2 linked regions of the Rattus norvegicus genome follow. The protein of the gene in region 1 binds, or shares a complex with, the protein of each later gene. Links are inferred from orthologs where the notes say so. Each region holds a gene or a part of one and is shown in the gene's direction. Other genes may lie near its edges.

Region 1 (3,811 bases):
TCTGAGGTCACCCGTGTAAGCTAGGCAGACCTTGAACTCAGCAGTCCTCTGGCCTCAGTCTTCCAAGTGCTGGAAATACAGGCATGAGTCCCCGGCCTGGCTGATCCACCTTTTTAAACCATAAATAGCTAGCTTCCTTCTTGGTCGGTTTAGTAGTAGGGTTATATAAAGCATCACAGTGGCTGTGACCTGTCACCCAAGGTTTTAGCTTGATGAATTTAAGATAGTAGAGAATGGTAGAAATGTTTAAGATTGACTCAGAATGTCTCGCTGCATTACGGAAGGACAACCCTCACTTAAGCCTCCCCTGCTGGTGTCTTGCAGAGCGTTTGAAACGTGAGGAACGACGTAGAGAGGAGCTTTATCGTCGGTATTTTGAGGAGATCCAGCGGCGCTTTGATGCTGAGAGGCCTGTGGATTGCTCTGTTATCGTGGTCAACAAACAGACGAAGTAAGAAGCCTGTGCTTGTTTCTTCTTGGTGTGGAAAAGGGGTCAGTGCTTAGCAGCTCCACTCCCTGACCTTGCTGGCTTACTCTCTTATTACCTGAGCTTGAATTAAGAGTTTTTTCACTCAATGACAAAAAACCCAACATAAAGGGGTTGAAAACAAACTAAAAAGTTTGCTTAAATGGGAAGTTCAAACATGGCCTCCTCTAAAGTCTAACTGTGAGCAAAACATGTTCCCTGTCAGTTTCTCCTTCATGCGTTCCTTGCTTATGCCCTGTTTCTGACCATGTTTTCTACTTGAAGAGTCAGAGTGGCAATGACTTTAGACATGTATCTTCTTAGCTTAGCAAACCTACTAAAGATGAGGCTTCTCTTCCTGATATATTCATATTTGTGTTCTCTCTCTCTTTCTCTCTCTCTCTCTCTCTCTCTCTGTCTGTCTGTCTGTCTCTCTCTGTGTGTGTGTGTGTGTGTGTGTGTGTGTGTGTGTGCGCGCGCGCATGTGCGTGCACATAAGTGTATGGTGTTACAAAAGCCAAATGACAGCATAGGCTCTCTTTCTTGCCTTGTTCTGTTGAGAAAGGACTTCTCAGCCAGGCAGGGGTGACACACACCTTTAATCCTAGTAAACAGGAGGCAGAGACAGGCAGATCTCTGAGTTCAAGGACAGCCTGATCTACAAAGTGAGCTCCAAGACAGCAAAGACAGCCAGGGCTATACAGAGAAACTCTCAAAAACTCAAAAAAGAAAAAAGAAAGGGCCTCTTTTTAAACCTAGAACTACTGTTACTCTGCTAAGTTATCAACTGTAAAACACCACAGTTCTCCTCCGCTCTGTCTCTGGAATTACAGATGCACTCCATCCTACCCAGCTTTTATGTGGTGCTACCGTCCACACTTGTGTCTTCCTACTTACTCAGCAAGTAGGCCGTCTCTCGCCATCCCTTCCAGGGCTCTACTGGACGTCTTAGATTCTTCCTGAGACTAAGCTAGCTTATCATAACTCCCAACCCTGAGGTGTCGCTTTGGACTGGGGCCCAGAATACTGTGATTTACAAGGGCTGGGTTTAGAGGTGAAGTTAGCCTTGCAGAACCATGGGAACTGAGAATAAGAGTGGAAGTGTACTCGAGTCAAGAAAACCCCACCCACTTCCACAGCAACCACCTTGAATCCTGTAGGACCTGTTAAGTGACCACATTAACCAAGTCAGGGTCCTAACAGCTCTCTGTTAAGTGTTCACAGTTGGCTAGAGCTGGGTTCTGGTTCTCATGGAGTTAGGAAATCCTTATGTTTTCTAGCCATCTACTGTTACAGATGCTCATTTCAAAAGTGCAGTGACTAGGAAATCTGTTAAGATAGCAGCTAGCAGACAAGAGTTCAAAGGCTTTGGGCTGCCTTACCTTTTCAAGATGCTAAATAAGTAGTCATCATTTTCTAAGCACCTACCCCATACGGCCCACTGGGTGCTTTACATAAACAATTTGTAACCTCCTCTGTAATTAGGGTAAGAGTCTGCATGTGTGCGTGAGAGAGAATGGCTAGGTACTGAGACTGCAGTAGTAATAAGCAGATCTCAGACTGGTGAGGAAGGTGACAAAAATACATAGACAATGAGTTCTGTGAGGGGAAGGACCAGAGGTTTAACTTAAATTGGAGGCAGAATCAAATGACAGGATCTAAGTCATGTTCCTGTGCTACTGGCTCTGAGAAAACAACTGAGTTTGCTAAGAGTTAAAAGACTTACTCGGAGCCTCACTTCTGACTCAGGCAGGTCTTACAAAGGACAACATTTCATTGGGGCTGGCTTACAGGTTCAGAGGCTCAGTCCATGGTGGGAGCATGGCAGCATCTAGGCAGACTTGGTGCTGGAGGAGCTGAGAGTTCTACATCTTGATCTGAACGCAGCCAGGAGCAAGTTCACTTCCACAGTGACACACTTCCACCAACAAGGCCACACCTCCAAATAGTGCCACTTCCCGTGGGCCAAGCATTCAGAGCACAACAGCTTTACAAGTAAATGCTGGAACTGGAATCCTAACTCACATATTTACCATCAAAGCACATTGTGTTCCCGTACAGCCTCCTCAAGGGTTGAAGAGTACAGCAGGTCCTAGAGAGCGGCAGGTATTGGACTAGAGAATCAAAAGAAAGGTGTCAACCAGTTGTGGTGAGACCTATAGTCTCAGCACTTCAGAGGGGAGGAGAATTACTTCAGGTTTAGGGGGAGCCTGGGCTACATGGTGAGATCATGTCTTGAGACACATACACCCATTCCAGAATGCCAGGGCTGCTACAGTGCAGAGCCTGTGTAGTATGTGTGGGCGGTATGACTAAGGAAGCCCTACTGATGGAGAAGAGAGAGGGTGAGACTTTGACCTTCTAGGTAGAAACTGCCCAGTTAATGTCATTGATCATTAATACTGTTTATTCAAACAAATTCATCAGATGCTCTGGGCAAAATCAGTTATGGAAGGTTAACCTGATAAACTAGACCCTAGGAAGGATCCGCACTCATTTCCTTCATCAGACTCCTTGGCTTTATTCCAGGTCTAGGACCAGAGCGGTCATGCAGGCTAGTGTAGGTGTAGGATTGCCTAGTTTGCTGTTGGTTTTTATTCAGTCATCAAACATGATACTGATGAACAATATGGCCACTAAGTCTAGTTGGCATATAGGACTGACAGGGAACCTATGGGTCCCAGGACAAAGGTTCTACTGCCTCAGAAAGACTGAACCTGGGTGCTTAGAGGAAAAGACAAATAAGGTTGTGAGTAGATTGAAGTAGATTTAGTTTTTGGCCCATCCCATTACTCTCTTCATGAAGAAAGGAGTATGAGCATTGGTGGTGATGTGGCTGAAGGATAAGGAAGAGAAAGAAGGAGGAAGACGGTCTACTAGGACCCATAATGCACAACGCTGGTTCCATTGAAGAGGCAGAAGAAAAGGACGATGGAGAAGTACACTGGTAAATGAAGTCTGTCCATCCAGAGAACCCTTGTCTCAGAAAACCAAAACACAGAGAAGAGTTTGATAAAATCAAAGCTTCTTTGGGGCAGAAATCCTAGTGATGCAGGGTATCCTCTCCTTAGGATTCACCAGCAATTGGGGATAACAGTGGGCTACACAACCACACGTCAGCAGCTCCTCAATAGCACAGGAGCACCATTGTGGATTCCAAGGAGCTCCTTCTTTTAAGTATTTCCTATGAAATGTTGCATCAAAGCAAAATTTGGAAAGCTATCAGAAAGAATTTGGTCAAAACATGCTTAGAACGTTTTGTTCATTAAACTGGCAGAAGAACCAGAGGGAGCTCAACAGTTACGGACACACAGTGCCTGCCCTGCTGGGGGAGCTGTGTTCAAT
Region 2 (4,576 bases), on another chromosome or scaffold:
CAGGACACACAGACACACGGGAAAGGGTACAGGGACGTGCAGATTGGGGAGTACCAATCTCACCCTTTCCTTTCCTCACCGGAATGGTCTCAGTAGGTAGCCCCTCTCCTGTCCACTCTACCTTTCCTAACCCTCAAGGATGACATTTTACCTTATAAATGGGGAAGAGTACAGGACTCTTAGCTTAACTGAAACGTGCACATAAGACGATGGGGGCAGTGAGGCTTTCGGCAGCCTTTGCTCATAGTTTTTAAAGTAGGTTCTTTTCCACATGTGTAGTCTGTGGTGCCTACCTGTGGGACTCATAAACCCAGGCCTCAGGAAGGTCCCCAAAGGCATTTTGGTTACACCTGAAATGTTGAGGTTGGCGTTGTACAAGTTTCCCTCCAAATACCCCTTGGTTTTCTTCTATTACATTTCCATCCATCAAGAAACACATTCCGGGCCTGAAGAGACAGCTCTGCTGTTAAGATAGCAAGCTGCTCTTGCATAGAAGCTGAGTTCTGCCCCAGCACCCATGCCCAGGAGGGAATCCCACACCTATATTCTCCGTGGGCATCTGCACGCGTGCCCTCAAGCCCACGTGTGCATAATTTAAAAGATAAAAAGTAGATCTTTGGGGCTGGAGAGATGGCTCAGAGGTTAAGAGCACTGGCTGCTCTTCCAGAGATTCTGAGTTCAAATCCCAGCAACCACATGGTGGCTTGCAACCATCTGTAATGGGATCCGGTGCCCTCTTCTGGTGTGTCTGAAGACAGCTACAGTGTACTCATTAAATAAATCTTTAAAAAAAAAAAAAGTAGATCTTTGAAACCCTTCATAAACGCCCCATGATGTGTGCGGATGGCCTGACCACTAATTAGGTACACGAGTGACACCAGGTCGGCCTACAGGTCATTTGTTTTCCTTTTAACTTTTGCCACCACAGACTGCCTTAAAGCCAATTGTTTCTTAAAAAAAAACAAAAAAAACAAAAAAAACAAAAAACTAAGGCGTGATCCCCTGCCTTTGTAGAGTAGGGTCACTTCCAGGTTAACGCTGTGGAGCTGGGAGGATCCGAGCTGCCATCAGGGGGCGCCAGAGACCCTTTGGGACAAGGAAGAGAGGAGCCCTGTAAAAGCGCAGGCAGATTTTTTCCAGGTGAATTCCCTCGTTGTTTTTTTTTCTCTCCACTTCCATCGCCAGCCGCTGGTAGACACGCATTCAAACCTCCGCCTCCAGCCCTTGCCTTTCTGGGGCTCAAGCTAACACTCCCTGGAAAGGGATCTGATTTCATTACTCCGTTATTACTGCTTATTTCGGTGCTATTACCAGAACCCGGGGCCTGGCCCATGCTTCTTAAGGAGAGTTGTCAGACCTAAGCATTTAATGACACGCGCGTGGGTCAAAGTATGGAAACAAGATGAAGTGTGGTCCCTGGACGCACGCAGTCAAGTCCAGAATTCCTGGGGATCTGGTCAGAAATTCCCATTCCCGGGCTCCATCTCGGTTCTCCATCGTCAGTCTCTTGGAAGGGGGGTGTCCCTAGTGGATGACTGTGAAGAGGCTGGAGGTCGACATCCAGTGGATCCGGTTGCGCGGCGCGGGAGTGCCTGAAATCTCCGGCTCCGGGTTTGTGGTCACGTGAACTTTTTAGCTACCCTCCCACACTCTTTTCTAGGTCTTTAAAAGACGCACTAACATCCGTTAGTCGTGGGTAATCTTTGCAGCTTCTCCAGCTGCTGGCCTTTTTGAAACGCACTCTCAGGTCCCTGCCTTCAGCGAGGCTTCTAGAATCAGCCACCTCTTGAAACTTCTTGGTGGGGAGCTGGCCCAGGGGGAGCGGCTGGTGCTGCCACTGGCATCCCTAGGCACCCAGGTCTGCAATAAAGTCTGGCAGCCACTGCATGGCTGAGCGACAACCAGTGGCTGGGAGTCCGGCTCTGTGGCTGAGGAAAGCACCTGTCTGCATTTAGAGAATGCAAAATAGAGAATGTTTACCTGCCAGGTAAGTGTCCCTTTGCTCATTGTGAGGCTTAATTGAATTTGTGGGAGGCCAGCAGAGTTTAGAACAATAAAGCGGCTGGGGCTGGGGGATAGATGCAACTCTACTGAACACTACCGGAAACGGAAATTTTATTGACTTTTGGATTTTTGGTTTTTTGTTTTTTGCTTTTTTTTGTATGAACATAATTGTCCTTTTAAAGGAAGAAAATTCCTGTGATTTTCCTAGCAGTGGATAAGATGATGAATCTTCTTCCTTGAGTATTGTGGACCTGGGAAGCTGTGTCTATCTTAGGCAGGTGATCCTGGCTTGAATCCTTAGTCGTGTCAGAAATGGAGTTTGACTTCTTCCCTGGATAGTCAGAGAGAGAGAGAGAGAGAGAGAGAGAGAGAGAGAGAGAGAGAGAGAGAGAGAGAGAGAGAGAGAGAGAGAGAGAGAGACTTCTCTTATATGCCGGAGAGGAATCTAACTGTTGCTTCTTCCAGATTATTTGTGGTGACTATTTCATAGTGGAAGGAGGAAATCAGGTCAAGTGAATACTGTTGGTTTTGTGTGTGTGTGTGTGTGTGTGTGTAAAACAAAACTATGAATCTGAGCTCTATTAAGAAAGCAAGCCTGGTGATTTTACTTAGGATTTAGAAGGCAGGTTTCTGTTTGGCACATAGTACCCTGGAGGAAAGATTTTTATGTCTTGTTCTATTTCAAGTGTTTTTGTGAGCATTCCACTTGAAATTTCATTGTTCCTGTGGTGATCCGGCTCACGGTGGATATTTCCTCTCTCTCCGTGTAAATGTTATTTAAAGAGTGAAAGGAGAGATTAGAAAGTGGATATATATTGACAACAAGGAGGATGTAATAGGGAGCTTCACTTTCCAGGACAAGGCTCTACCTGTCCTCAACCTGCCGGTCTTGACCCCCTTGAGAACCCTTGACCTTCAAAGACATTTACATTGCGATTCATAACAGTAGCAAAACTACAGTTATGAAGTGGCAACAAAACTAATTTTGTGGTTGGAGGTCACAATAACGGGATGGATTGTGTTAAAGGGATTGCCCCAGTAGGAAGGCTGAGACCCACTGCTCTCCAGACATTCTATCTGAAGTAAACGATGAGGGTTTATCAGTAAGTGATAAAGCAGGAATTTTAGGTTTCCATTTTATGTTCATAGTTGTCTAGATGAATCTGAAACTTTTATGTAAAGAGCAGTTTTAAAGGCAACCCTTTAAGTCTTGCTCAAGATATATAAATGTTTGAAATTAACAAAAAGCAGGTAGAAGACAATTTCAAGGTGGGTCTGAGGAACCCAAATGGATCTAGTCAGATTTGATATCTCTCAGAATTTACTTTTAATATAAAAAATGTGAAATTTAGTACTAAATTCAACATATCAAATATATAAACTAGCACTTAATGGGCTCCTTCTAAAGGCAAAAGCACTGTCTTATTTAATGTGTATTAAACAGGCAACGACTTAAAATATATTTCATTTTTCAAAAAAAATACATTTCATTTTAAAATTTTAGCTGATGTTTTGAGTCATTTTATGGAATGATTAGAAAGTGGTTATATAAAATCCTGAGGAATAAATTCCAATCATTTCTAGGTAAGTTGTTTCAATTATGTATGCAAAGCCCTTGAAGCTTGACCCTTTGGTTATTAGACTTCATAATTCAGGATTTATTTAGTACATTGTAATAGAAATTTGAAAAAGTGATCCGTATTGCAGTATTGTTTACAGACAGTTTGCCTTTAAGCTTTTAAAAGAAAGACCACTGAAAGATTCATGATAGAGAAGAGTCAGCCTTTTCTCATTTTCCGAAGATACACATTCAGTTTTAACGAGTTGCCTATAAGTTCCTTATTAGTGGTCAATTTTATGGTTGTTTTAGGGTAAGTTTTCTTTGTTCCTATCATGAAATTGATTGAGGGCCTTAATACTTTTCTTCGGAAAAGGCACGTGCAAAGGTAATAACTGCTAAGCAGAAGCACGCAGGAAGAATGTGTGAGGCTTAAGAGGTGTCTCCAAGGGGCGGGGGATGTTGGCCACTTGGTATGGTCTTTCTAGCTAGCACAAAGCCCTGACCTCTAGCCACAGAACCACATGAATCAATCATGGTGGTCCTTGCCTATAATCCTAGAGCTCAAAATATGGAAGCAGGAAGATCAGGAGTTTAAGGATGGCCTTGGCTACATAGCAATTTTTATGCCAGCCTGGACTGCATGAGACCTTGCCTTAGAAAAGGAAAGAGGAAGAAGAGAAATGTCTTTATACATATTTTTCGTGTCCATGGAATTCTCTCTGGTGTGTGTGGGCGTGGGTTTTTACTTTGATGGGGAGCACAGGTGTGGGATGTGTGGAGGGGGTGCTTTGTGGAGGGGGATGGGCAGCTGGAAGAAGAATGGAGCTGGCCTGTGGAAGCTGTCCTCGTCTGCAGGCCCAAGATCTGGTCCTCACAGGAGGTGGTAACTTCTCTGCACACGCAGAGCAGGCAAGGTGCTAATAGCCCAGCTGTCCAGACTGCTTGAGGTGATGGATTTCTGCCAAACAGAAGTTTTAAAAAAGGAAAATTCAGAAGCAAAAGCCCTCACAA

Evidence for each region.
Region 2: the proteins of Ncoa5 (region 1) and Esr2 are in contact, whole or in part, in a crystal structure (PDB 4ZI1), measured with the Homo sapiens proteins. The link is inferred for Rattus norvegicus from reciprocal best matches to the Homo sapiens genes NCOA5 and ESR2. Residues at the interface, in NP_066018.1 of Homo sapiens: Ser344, Leu345, Ile346, Leu348, Leu349, Ala350, Asp351; in NP_001428.1 of Homo sapiens: Ile310, Lys314, Phe319, Leu324, Gln327, Val328, Leu331, Glu332, Leu490, Glu493, Met494.

The regions. Positions count from the first base shown.
Region 1 is NC_086021.1:174,161,177-174,164,987, reverse strand, and holds part of Ncoa5 (nuclear receptor coactivator 5), read left to right. Parts: intron 1-324; coding exon 325-451; intron 452-3,811. UniProt on the Homo sapiens protein: Nuclear receptor coregulator that can have both coactivator and corepressor functions.
Region 2 is NC_086024.1:100,641,800-100,646,375, reverse strand, and holds the start of Esr2 (estrogen receptor beta), read left to right. Parts: upstream 1-1,666; 5' UTR 1,667-1,987; intron 1,988-4,576.